Rattus norvegicus: one gene and its partner. The protein of the gene in region 2 interacts with the protein of the main gene of each other region in a biochemical or structural test. Links are inferred from orthologs where the notes say so. Each region holds a gene or a part of one and is shown on either strand. Other genes may lie near its edges.

Region 1 (5,408 bases), about 20 Mb from region 2:
TGCTCACGATGCGCTGTGTGTTGAAGTGCTGAAAACCTCTGCTGGGCTGGGATTGAGTCTGGATGGAGGAAAATCGTCTGTATCCGGAGAGGGGCCACTGGTGATTAAAAGGGTGTACAAAGGTAAAGTTTATCTCCATGAAAAAGCCATCCCTCCTGTATGAGAACTAAATATGGTTAGTTTATGGAGAGCTAAAGTGCTTTTTGTGGCTGCATAATCTCCAGGCGTGTTTTGCATGTATTAAAACTCCCAAGGCCCAGGTGGGTACCAAGGACAGCAGTATGGTCAGCTATACCAGCAGGAGCACTTACTGTCAACCCAGAATCCGGTGATTTTAAATACTTGACTGCAAGAAAAGGGAGGGAAACGATGTTGAATGGTTTCTCCATGAACTTGGAATTCGCATTTTATGATCTTGGGAAACTGGGCTAGAGGACTTTTTTTTTTTACAAGTGTGTATGGTATGCATATGTGTATGCATGTTCACATGTGTGCACATGTGAAAGACCAATGTTGCTATCAAGTATCTTTCTCGATCGCTCTCCACTTTCTTTCTGTGGCAGAATGTCTAGATTGCCAGTTGGGATCACTCACTTCAGAGTGCTTGGCTTACAGGGTATTCACACGTGTGGGTTCTGGAGATCCGAACTCTGGTCCTCACACTTGTGATCAACTGAGCCATCCCTGTACCATGAGGGAGCCCTTACAGTGTTCAGATGCCTAAGCAGTCAGGAATTGTGTAATTATATGGCTGATGTCAGCACATAAAACACAAACAGACCTGAAACTCACAAATAGGTCAGATGTATAAGAATGTCAGATCCTCTGGAGCTGAGTCACAGACAGTTCTAAGCTGACATGTGGGTGCTAAACATTGAGCCCAGGGTTCTCTGGAAGAACAGCCAGTGTTTTAACTGCTGAGCCATCTCTCCAGCCCCCAAAACTCATTTATGGTTAGAGGATGTAGACATGAAACTGGTTGTTCTTAGCTTAAGATTGTGTATGTGTGTATGTGTGTGTGTGTGTGTGTGTGTGTGTGTGTGTGTGTGTGTGTGTGTGTGTGTGTTGTCAGACAGGGTCTCACCATGTAGCCTGGCTTGGAACTCATAGAGATCTAATTGCTTTTGCCTCACTGATTTGCTTTGATCAAGTTTCTGAACTTGTGGTCTCTTTCTGTAATTACATGGCTACTCTGAAACATCTCTCCATTCCAGACACAATGTTAATATGAGCTGTGCTTTAAAAAAATAAAAATAAATTAGGGAAGAGAGGCCAAAACTGTCAACTTATGCACCCCAAGCAGCCACGGGACCAAGAATAAGCAGCAGATGCCAGCCTAGGCCGAACTGGTGTGCTCTAGGATTTCCCAGTGGGTAGAGCCTTTATCACAAGACCATCTCTGAAAGATTCACCTTCCCAAACCAAGGCCATCCTTGGCCCTTCCCTGAACCTGTCACATCTCATCATTCTAGATCTGTCTTCCGTCTCTGCCAAATACATGTGAACAATAAATTTCTTGAGTCTTAGGCAATTATAAAACCTTTCCACCTGGGCAGAGTGGCTTACGCCTGCAGTCCCAGCACTCAGGAGACAGGGGCAGGATTGTGGCAAGTCTGAGACCAGCCTGGGCTTCATATAGGGAGATCTAGGACAGGAAGAGCTACACAGGAAGACCATGTCTAAAAACAAAACAAAATCAAATCTCTGTAGAAAGGAGAAACAAAGCCCATGGTAGTGTTGGCTCAGAAATGTTCAATCAGAACTGAAGCTTACAGGCCCACCCAAGTGTAGGGGCTGAGCACCTCCTGACTCTGTGGGACTGCCAAAGGTAGGTATCCAGTGATGGGAAGGACTGGACCCTCCCCTGACAGGAACTAGAAGCAAGACAGCTTGTGTGGTAGCTTACACTAGCATCCAAGACAGGCTGTCTCTGTTTATGGCCCCACATGCTAGCAGAAAACAGGCACAAATCTGGAGTCAGGCATGCTGTGTGCAATACATAGTCAAAGCAGTACTAGGAGAGGAGAACCCCCATACTCACTAAGAGAGAACAGAGAATGGCATAAGGGAAGCATGAAGCGATTCATGTAAGCGTACTCACACAAGTATCAGCTCGCAGAAGAAGAAGGCAAAGTCCCCTGAGAGCCCATTAGAAGCTAAAGGCAGGCTACCCAGAGTCCCGGCTTCAGGCAGAGCAGTGCAGGGTACAGAATGGGAGCCCAGAGAGCCTTGCCAGCCCAAAAGCCCAACGGGTGGGCATTCATCTCTCTCAGGCTCTTACCTTCTTTTGTAATCAACCGCAATCACAGGTACATAAATAGCACTTTTTGTGATTCAAAAAAAAATGTGTACGGTATACACCATGCAAGGGCAGTTGCCCAGAGGGCCAGATGTTGGAACCCCCCAATACCAGAGTTATTGGTGGTCATAAGCCACCAGATATGGGTGCTGGGAAGTGAAGCTGGGTCTGAACCCGGGTCCTCTCAAAAAGCAACAGCACTCCTAACTGCTGAGCCATCTCTCCAGCACCTTCTTAGCGTTTTTATTATCTTGTGTCTGGCCATGATGGTCAGAGGACAAACTTCAGGAATCAGTCTTTCACCTTTACCCACTGAGCCATCTTGTCAGCCCTAAATACCTAAAATGGGCTTCAGAAACATGCATCTGCTCGGCTTTTTGAGATCTGCGATTTCTAAGAAAGTTACCTTCCCCTCTCCAGCCCCAGAAGTTTCTATTTCAATGCATCTTTTCTGCGGTAACATTTTCTTCCCCAATGCGCTTTAGGTCTGTATACAGTAGCAGGGAGGAGAGAGAGGAGGGCTTGATTGCTAAGAGCTCGTAAATGTGTTTTAGCTTCTACAAAGCTGTAACACAGGAATGTGGGAAGCTCTGTACGTTGGTAACGTTGTCACCACAGTCCCCACGACCTGATGAGCAGGTAACCTGTGATACTCAAAGCCAGACAGCTGACATTTTGGATGATATCGTTTCTATGAGCTTGTTGGATGTTTGTTGGTGTTCGTTCCTTCCTGGTTTCCTTTGACCAACTCTGTATTTGCTAATGAGGCTGTGTTTTTAATTTAAAGTGATTTTACTGTTTGAGTACACAGACTTTACACCACCGTCACAGAGGCTGCAAATGATTCAGACTGGAGTGGGAGGACCCACCGCTAAGTTTTATAACATACTGGCTGGTAAACACCACTCCAGGCGAATCAGGCAGAATTTAGAATCTGTATCCTTTGTGTGTCTCAAGATGCTTATGAACGACTTTTTCAACCAAATGGTAGACACTGTTAGGAAAAACAAAGCCCCTGTGGAGCATACCAGTTTGTGGAGAGGTCAGACCTTTCTTGGCCAGTTCATACATCTGTACCTTCATAGTCGGACATCAACTCCAGCCAGGTGAGGGTGTGCTAGTGCTAGCAGAGAACCCTGAGACAAGCCCTTCCCTGGAACGTGCTTGTGACTCACGACGGCAGTGGTCCGGTGGCAAAAAAGGAATTTGTGGTTCTTTATTATAAATACATTGTCTTCCCTTTGTGAATTGTGGGCTTGGGACTTGTTTATATTGGAGGGACTGCTCTAAGTTAAATAATACAAAATAGAGAGAGAATGTCTGTTTAAAAGAGAGAAAAGGAAAATAGTCCCCTAGCCTAAGACTATAGAAACATCATTGAGGAATATTTACCATTTAAACTTTTAGCTGCCTTTTTAAAGATGCAGGTGTTAACAGTGGGTTCTGCGTTTGTTCTGACAGGCGGTGCGGCCGAACGAGCTGGAACAATAGAAGCGGGTGATGAGATCCTAGCCATTAATGGGAAGCCCTTGGTCGGGCTGGTGCACTTCGATGCCTGGAACATCATGAAGTCTGTTCCAGAAGGGCCCGTGCAGCTAGTGATCAGAAAGCACAGGGATTCGTGAATTTTTCACAGGGATCTCCTTCCCTAGATTTACTACTTTACCAGAACGACTTCTCTAAACGATGGGTTCTTGAATCAACAAACAGCTTAGACAAATTCCATGATTGTACTTTTACAATGAAGCCCGAACTCTGGAAACCACCTACCTGGACCGTCAGGGCTGGGAGGGCATCATTTCATTCAGTGCCTCGGATCAAGAGTGGACGTGCTCTTCATCTGGAACGCCTAGCTGCACCCTCACCTCCCTCCTGCCACCTCTCCCAGCATCAGTCCTGGTGAGTAGGGACCAGAGGATAACACAAATGCCCCAGCGAAAATGATTTATGTATGTAGATTTATATAATTTTGTAAGTAAATGACAGTGCTTTTAGGTACATGCAGTGGAAGGCAGAGCTACGTATGTTACCTTGAAAAGGAAAATGAGACGTAAAGAAAATGAATTTATGACCTAATTGTTAGGCAGAGCTCAGGAATCACCCAACAGTGAAAAAGAAAAAGTGCTATTTTTTAATGAACGTAATGTATGATACGAACTAGGAAGTTCTGATGGTTTTCTGTTTCAGAGTGTAAGTCATAAGGCCGTTCCAGAGCGACAGTTCTGACGAGTTGCAATAAATCGCTGTGAGCTTCCCTTCCTGGGAGGAAGTTCTAGCCCGAAAGCACCTTGCATCTAGTTTTCAAACTTGAGTACATGGTCGAATTCAAGGCTGATCAACACAAAAACAGGCAAAGTTGTCAGCGTGTTTCTGTTTCCACACACATACATGCACCCCCACCACCACCACCACCACCACCACCCCCCCCACCGGAAAGGAATTTGAGAGTTCAATCCTTCGACTTGCAAACATAGGCATTCTGTGGTCCAGACTGAGGAGCATCCTCTCGGGGAAATTTTCTTGTTAGCTTTTCTCCTTTCCCCTCCAGACCTAAAGAAGCTGGACTACAGTCCAGCTCTCTTCCCTGACAGAGATCTGCGGTGGTTCAACTTCTTGCTATTTTGGTTTTTCCTGTTTTGCAAACTCTTCCTCTTGCTAAAACTAGGGTCCCACTGATCATTTTGACTCAAGCTGCTTGTAAAACTCCTCCGGCTTGGCTGCCGTGAACTTCTTCGAAGCCCTTCCTCCTCACAAGCTGGCTTTTCCTCCCTTTGCACTGACCATCATTTTCTTAAATTCCAAAGCCTCGCCAGCTTCCTTTACCAAACAAGGAAAATGGAAAAACAGGGTGAGTCATTCTCAAGGAAAAGGACTGCACAGTGTTCACCACCCTCTCCTCAGGTGGTGCCACCCAGTGCTGGGTCCTGGGGTCTTGGGTGGAAACCTCGTTTTCAAATCACGCATGCACAATGCTATGGTTTCGCCGCTCTGGTTAACAGCTGGGTCTAGGGGAAAGACGGCTGAGGTGCTTGAGCTGCTGTTGCCTTCGTACGTCATCATCTGAGCCCGATCCTGCTGGCCGCCTGCAGAGGACCCAAGAGAGGGCCCG
Region 2 (6,812 bases):
ATAATTCTGGAAGGATAGATATCATAAACGTTTCAATGAAAAGCGTCAAGAATAAGCGAAATCCTTGTCGTCCACATCTGCTTCTTTAGTACCCCGCACCCACCACAAGAAGTTCTTCAGGGACTGATCATGGGTGTTGCCATAGTGATCAATAAATCAATGGGAATTTTGCAATTTCTCATAAAATAAAGCAAACAATTTCTGAAAACCATTTTTTTTCTCACTGGATCCTTTTGGATTTAAAAATAGGCATATGCTCTAAGGATACCTACTATGGTATCTGATTTTTGTCTTAACCTGTTCCCTGTTCCCACTGACTGACTGAGTTAAAATTCATGAAGAGAAAATCAGGGACCCAGAGGATGGGTCAGTAAGAGTGTTTATTCTGAAAATTTGAGAACCTGAGTTCAGATCTCAGGATCCCCACAGAATGACTGATGAAGCTATGTGCACACCTGTAATTCCAGTATTGAGGGGACCTGGAGACTCGAGGATTTGGGGGACTTGTTGGCCTCCAACATTAGTTTCACAGGTTCAGTGGAGACAGTGTCTTAAAAAACAAAGGTAAGAGGGACAGAAAAGAGCATTAAGTTGTCCCCTGGTCTCCAGACATCAGCACAAACAGTCACATATACATACACATATCTTTCACACATGCTACCACATACAAATCAAACAACTAGAAACAGCAACACACACAGAGGCTAAGCACATCGTTTATTACATAACACACACACACACGCACACGCACACACACACGCACAGTGTGTGTGCGCGTGCATATTCATGTGTGTGCACGCATGCTTTTTATAAGCCCCAAGTTACAGATTCAACTTGAGCTGACGTATAAAACACCTGAAAATGTCCACATTTTCTGTCGCAGGAATCAGGCTAGGTTTGAAGTAGTAGCTACACCGGAGAACAACTGTTTCCGAGTGAGACCAAATCTACAGAGGGCAGGTGGAATGCGACGCACACTTCACTGTTGAGGACAGTCATTGTTCAATCTCCTGTGTGTTACTTTACATATTTAGTCTCTTTAACGTTTCTTTACATTTCTCAACCTTTTCACTGACCCCCAGAGAATAATAGAGGATATCTCAGACTTAACACAAATATTTTGAGTCCGTTGGATAATCTACCGCAAACTGAATAGAAACGTTCCTGAGATTGCTGAAGCTGCAAACCGCTCTTAGGACAAGTTCGTGGTTCCTGTCCTGTTTATCTGTGTCTCAGAAAATGGCTCCAGGAAGGAGCAGAGAGGAGAGGACAGCTTTAGAGTGAGGATCTTTGGGGTCAAGGGAGATTCGTGGTGGAATAATTATGAGAAGTATTTGTCCCGAATGTGACTGACAGACTTTGCAGCAACACAGGGACATAGCTGAAGGTCCCGAGGGCCTGCTTGCCTTGGCACTTGGGATGCCTTTCATTTTCCAACAAGACTTTCCATGGTGTGACTTTACTTGTTAGATTTAGCACTCTGTTGCCTAATGACTGTCTGAGAGACAGTTGGAAATCTCAGTTGGAAATGGAGAAAGCTTCACAGACTTCACCAGGGGGTAGGTGGAGGAGGAAAGTTTCCATTTTAGCACCGGTTTAGCACCAGACAATGGAACTGAAGAGGGAAAAAGTTGGAGGTGTCCAAGAGGACAACTGCGTAAGAAGTGACAGGCAGAGGAGGAGAAATCATTAAAGCTCCAGATCCGGCGAGGGTCTTCGTTGTAGGAAGTTTATTCATAGTCCAGATTTTAAAACCAGACTGAGTTTGAATAGGGGAAGGGTGTCTGTGAAAAGCATAATCTGAACACTGGAGGTGGTGGAGATGGGGCTCAACACTGTGAAAGAACCTCTCACAGACGACATACGTTTTTTGCTTTGGAACCCTAGAACCTACAAGAACATCCACCCCCATCCACTAGCTTGCATGGCTGGCCCAGTGCTCTCATTAACTCACAGGCTACTCTAGAACCCCTCAGTCACTGCCCTTTTGCAGACTGATATCTGCCACGCAGAATCAACTCTCCATCTCCGCTCTAGCTCGGGTGCTGTCTGCTCCCGGGAATGCTCAGCCCTCTCCCAACCTGCGCCGCCGCCTCCTCCCATCTCTGCTGCTGTTGCTGCCGCCGCGAAAACCAGAAGTGGAATTCGCGTGGCGAGGCGCCGCGCTCTCTCGGCGGCACTGGGCATGCTCCGCACCCGGGGCAGGTTTCGGTGGCGGGGCGGACGCTCGCTCACTAGCCAGGCGCCGGAGCCGGCCGCCGCGGCTGAGCCGGAGGCTGAGCTGCGGCGCGCGGCGGGAGGAGCCTCGCTCTCGGCGGCGGCGGCGGCGGCGGCGGCGGCGGCGGCGACACAGGTGGCGCGGGCGGCGCGCAGGGCGCAGCTCGAGAGCGCTCGGCGCCGGGCGCCAGGGCGGCCCAGGCTCGCGCCCGCGGCGGCAATCGGCCGAGCGGAGCGGCGGGCGCGGCAGCTCGGTAGCCCGGCCCGAGATCGGGGAGCCCCGCGGAACCCCGAGCATCCCGCGGCGCCCGCCAAGTCGGGCAGGGGGCGCTACGCTCGCCGCGCTCGGAGGAGCGGCCGAGCCGGGCGCTGCGCACTCGCGTCGGGAGCCGCCTCTCGCCTGCCGCGCTCGCCCCTGCTCCCCGCCAGCATCACTTGTCCCGCGGCCGCGCTCCGACAACAAAAGCGGAGGATGCTGCAGCTGGGCAAGGTCAGGACCTTGCTCTGAAGCCGGGCGGCGGCGCGCACGCCTTTCCCCGGACTGAGGAGCTGTCTTTGGCGGCGGGTGCATGTTCGCCAGGAAGCAGTCGGGCGCCGCGCCGTTCGGTGAGTTGCTTTAGCTGAGCTGCTTGAGCCGGGCGCATCCTCCGGGCGTCGTCCTCTTGCTCACCGCCGGTGGGGGTTGGTCCTCCGCTGCCAGCCGGGCCAGGGGTGGCGACGGAGGTTGTGGGGTGCTGTCTGCCCCGGGGGAGGACCACGATCCTGCCGGGTCCCCTCTCCAAAGACCGCTCTACCCGCAACGGGGTCCGGGGTCAGTGTCTTTCTTGGAGCGGTTACCAAGTGGCTTCCCCGCGTGCTCCCCTCCCTGCCACCCCTCTACCTAGGAGGACACGTATATAGGGCAACACCGACTGCTCCCCGCCACCCTCCAGAGCAACCCGGTTGCATTCATGACGTCCCTAATATACGGGAGAAGACGGGGTGGGGGCGGGGAAGACTTCCTTCCAGTCTTTTGCCCTTATGTTCAATGTCATTACGATGTTTGGCTAGAACAAAATGGAAAGACTTAGTCATATACGTCCATGGCCGTTTCTTCAGTCTCCCGCTGCTCGCCAGACCCAGACCCCTTTGGTCTATATTTAGCGTTTCCGAGGAAGCATTTTCAGAGGGATTCACAGGCTTCCGGGGGCTTCTCTGTCCTGACAATAGATAGCAAGCTCTGGAAAGCGTTGCCTGACAGCCAGGTTTGGCAAGGGTGCTTGTGCATGGGAGATACGCTTAGCGATATTTGGGTGATTCGTAATTAATGGCTGAAAGCAAAGCTGTGTTTCGCTCTCCCCCCACCCGACCTTCCTCTTCTTCTGGTGTGTAATGTGTTTTCATCGATTGATACTCAGCATGTTGAGCCACTCTGTTCAGAGTAAAGTCTCTAGGAAAGAGGTGCAACCTCCTCGATTTGAGGGAGGGTGGTGGTGGTGGGAAAACAGACTTAGGGGCTTAGGGGGTGTGCATCTCTATATTTTCCACAACGAGCCACTTATTTCTCAAATACCCAAAGTTGCGTTTTCTCTGTAAACACCGGGGTAATGGAGGGTGTGGAAGAAGAAGATAATAGAGGGGGAGGCAGTGCTTGCAAGGGGTTTGTATTTCCCTCATTTGAACTGATCTGCTGTGCTTCGGCTCTGCAAGGCTTTAATACATATGCATGCCTAATGTTCTCTAACAAATATGTTGGCTTAGAAGAGAGATATGTAATGAGCAAAAATCAGGCCTGAGAAGCATGACGGACCGTTCACTTTTAGGAACTGTGTGACTGATATGTAAGACGCTGAGAATTTTCAGCATTGACTTCCATGAAAATGGGGAGGTGTTGCCCCTGCCCACAAGTTACCTCATTTTGCACACTTCCACTAATGGTAGTTCAGTTGATGTGTTTGCTAGTGAGCATGTCTCACTGTAATTAGAAGGCTCCCCAGCCACACTACTAAAATCCAGTGGAAGACTGTTTGATCTGACTCTTTTTGGATTGCCAACGTAGACCAGTGCATGATTTGAGGGATCGGATATATGGAAAGTGTGACCAATAGAGACAAGAATCCTTGTGTATGGAATAGCCGGTTTCATCAACCGGATACCTCTTCCTTTAGTGATTCTCCGTGCCAAGCAGAATCCATTGTTAATGTTGAACAGTATCCGTACTGGTCTGTGGGTTGCAAGGTCCAAGGCTTGAATGAAGATGGCTATGTTTGGAATTGGTTGTTGAAATTTAGAAAGACTGTAATTTTACTAATAACAAGTGAGCGTGGGAAAAGCACGGCCAGAGGCTACACTGCTAGGCTTAAGGGAACGCTGCGATTCTTTTGCCAACACTGATGTAGTTTCACCTTTATTCACATTCAGGGAACTTTACAGGAGCGCTTTGAGCACACTCTTGGAGACCTTGTGTTATAGTAATGTGAAATTTCTATTAGAAACATGCCCTAGATGAAGGAGGAGTGCTTTTCCCATTCCTTTCCATTCCTCTCATTGAGTCTAGTGTTTCAGTTTTAACCATGATTCTTGTAGACTAGTTGACACCACTGTGTGCCTGTGTGTGCTTCCAGAGAGCAGCTGCTGGGCGTGAGGAAAACTCCATGTATTCTGCATGAGGCTTCTATACCGTATTGTGTGTTGATAATGATAGTACCTGACTGAATGGCAGTTATAGCAAGTGCATGAGGTTGTTTCTGTAATGAAATTGTCCTAATCTTGTAGAAAGGTGTTATTTAACTCTCTCTCTCTCTGTGTGTGTGTGTGTGTGTGTGTGTGTTTGAGCAGTTGTAAAACCAAAGCATTATAGATGTCATTAATGTTTGCATTGTTTTTAATAAGTCATGCACAGTCAAATTACAGCATTACCAGCTGCTTCACACCTTTTACAATACAGTAGAAGTCATCAATTCTTCCTCCCGTTCGGTAGTTCATCATAGAGAGGAAAAATGAAATTCAAAAAATATTATTTGGAAAAGGCAATTTGTAGTTTTGTTAAATATTTTCTAAGCCTAATATTGCCTTCATAATGGACTGTAAAAGTGAAAAAAGAACTTATAATGTTCTGTAACTATTTTACTTCGTGCATGTAATTGAATGTGTATTGCCTCTCCCCAAATGTAACTCTACATGCAATTGCTGAAGAGTTCTGAGATATATATATATATATATATATATATATATATATATATATATATATATTGTGTGTGTGTGGTGTGTATGTGTGTGTGTGTTCTCCTTTATAAAGGAAAAGCATTAGTTTTAAATGTGAAATGATCTCTAGTAATTTGTTTATAAAACTATGTATTTTTTGTGTGGATCAGTATATCTAGTTGTAAAGGCCAACTGGAACTAACATAAAATATATTTACATTTCCAACTTCCCCAGAATGCTCCCCTTCCCCCGTTATGAATAGAATATGAACACTCCCTTCTCAGTGTTTCTCTTTTGTCAAGTTAAAGGGAAGTGATACTTGTATTACTCTTTCTGACATAATTTTCACATCAAAAAGATCCCACATAGTTGGACACACTTAAACTCAAATTCAAACTATGAATAAAAGTCAGATACTGACCAGTTAGTTTTTAAGCCAGTTTGTTGAAGGTGTCGCACAATGGGCTTCTGCTAACTCACTTGTGAGTAAGTAAACTTTAAATGCAAATTACCTCAGTGGCTTCCTCGAGGCTCATCACTGTCCGTATTCCAAAGGTGAAATCCTTTGATGGATGAATGAGCTGTATATTGTTGTGTGCGAAAAGTTGATTTCAGAAAAGCAGTTCACGATTCTTGTTGTTAGCTTCAAGTTTGTCTGATTACATGCCAACGTAGAAGCATTTTTATATGACTATAAAATATTGAACATGCCATACATAAATAGTTTCTATCACATTGTCTGCCAATCCAGCCCACTGATTAATAAACTGCCTGGTTAGGTTTAATGAACCCAATTATATTCACAAACAGTACCTCCAACACAGAAAACTCAGAGGAATATTTTATCATCCTGTGATCTTAGTCCATTAAATTATAAGACTCATACAAAAGTGTGGGATGGTGATGATTCCAGTTCTTTGCCTTTTAATCACATGGCAGTTGAGGTGACTTCAAGGTTTGTATCTTGGATAATTGATTTGGTTGAATGGTTCATCAACATTATGGTATTGAAGTTCTATTCTGTATCAATTGTTTTTGACAGGCTACAAACAATGACCAGATAAGTGAGACAGTAATTCCTAAAACTTCTGTCTTAAACATGCATTTACCCATTTTTAACCTGGTCAGGTTATGTGCTGAATGCTAATTATTTTTATATATTTATATATGTTTATATGTATGTGTGGGGGTGTGTATGCATGTGTGTGCATATACATGTTATAGTATATTCCACTATTTCAAATTCATATAGTAATCATACACACACAGGTTATATAGGAAATGGCCCAGTTTTTTCTGTATATTTATAGTCTTATATAAAAGTTATTAGAAAAATTAATTTCAATAACATAATGCTGTCTTGCATTCCCTAATGTGTGAGCCACTTATTATGTGGCTTTTAGTGAATGTC

Evidence for each region. The genes of interacting proteins can lie anywhere in the genome.
Region 1: the proteins of Ctnnd2 (region 2) and Pdzd2 form a complex in vitro, tested with the Homo sapiens proteins (2 studies listed by BioGRID and IntAct, with this or other methods). The link is inferred for Rattus norvegicus from reciprocal best matches to the Homo sapiens genes CTNND2 and PDZD2.

The regions. Positions count from the first base shown.
Region 1 is NC_086020.1:63,112,577-63,117,984, reverse strand, and holds part of Pdzd2 (PDZ domain-containing protein 2), read left to right. Parts: coding exon 1-122; intron 123-3,760; coding exon 3,761-3,924; 3' UTR 3,925-5,408.
Region 2 is NC_086020.1:82,877,284-82,884,095, forward strand, and holds the start of Ctnnd2 (catenin delta-2), read left to right. Parts: upstream 1-2,185; 5' UTR 2,186-2,786; coding exon 2,787-2,823; intron 2,824-6,812. UniProt on the Homo sapiens protein: Has a critical role in neuronal development, particularly in the formation and/or maintenance of dendritic spines and synapses. Involved in the regulation of Wnt signaling.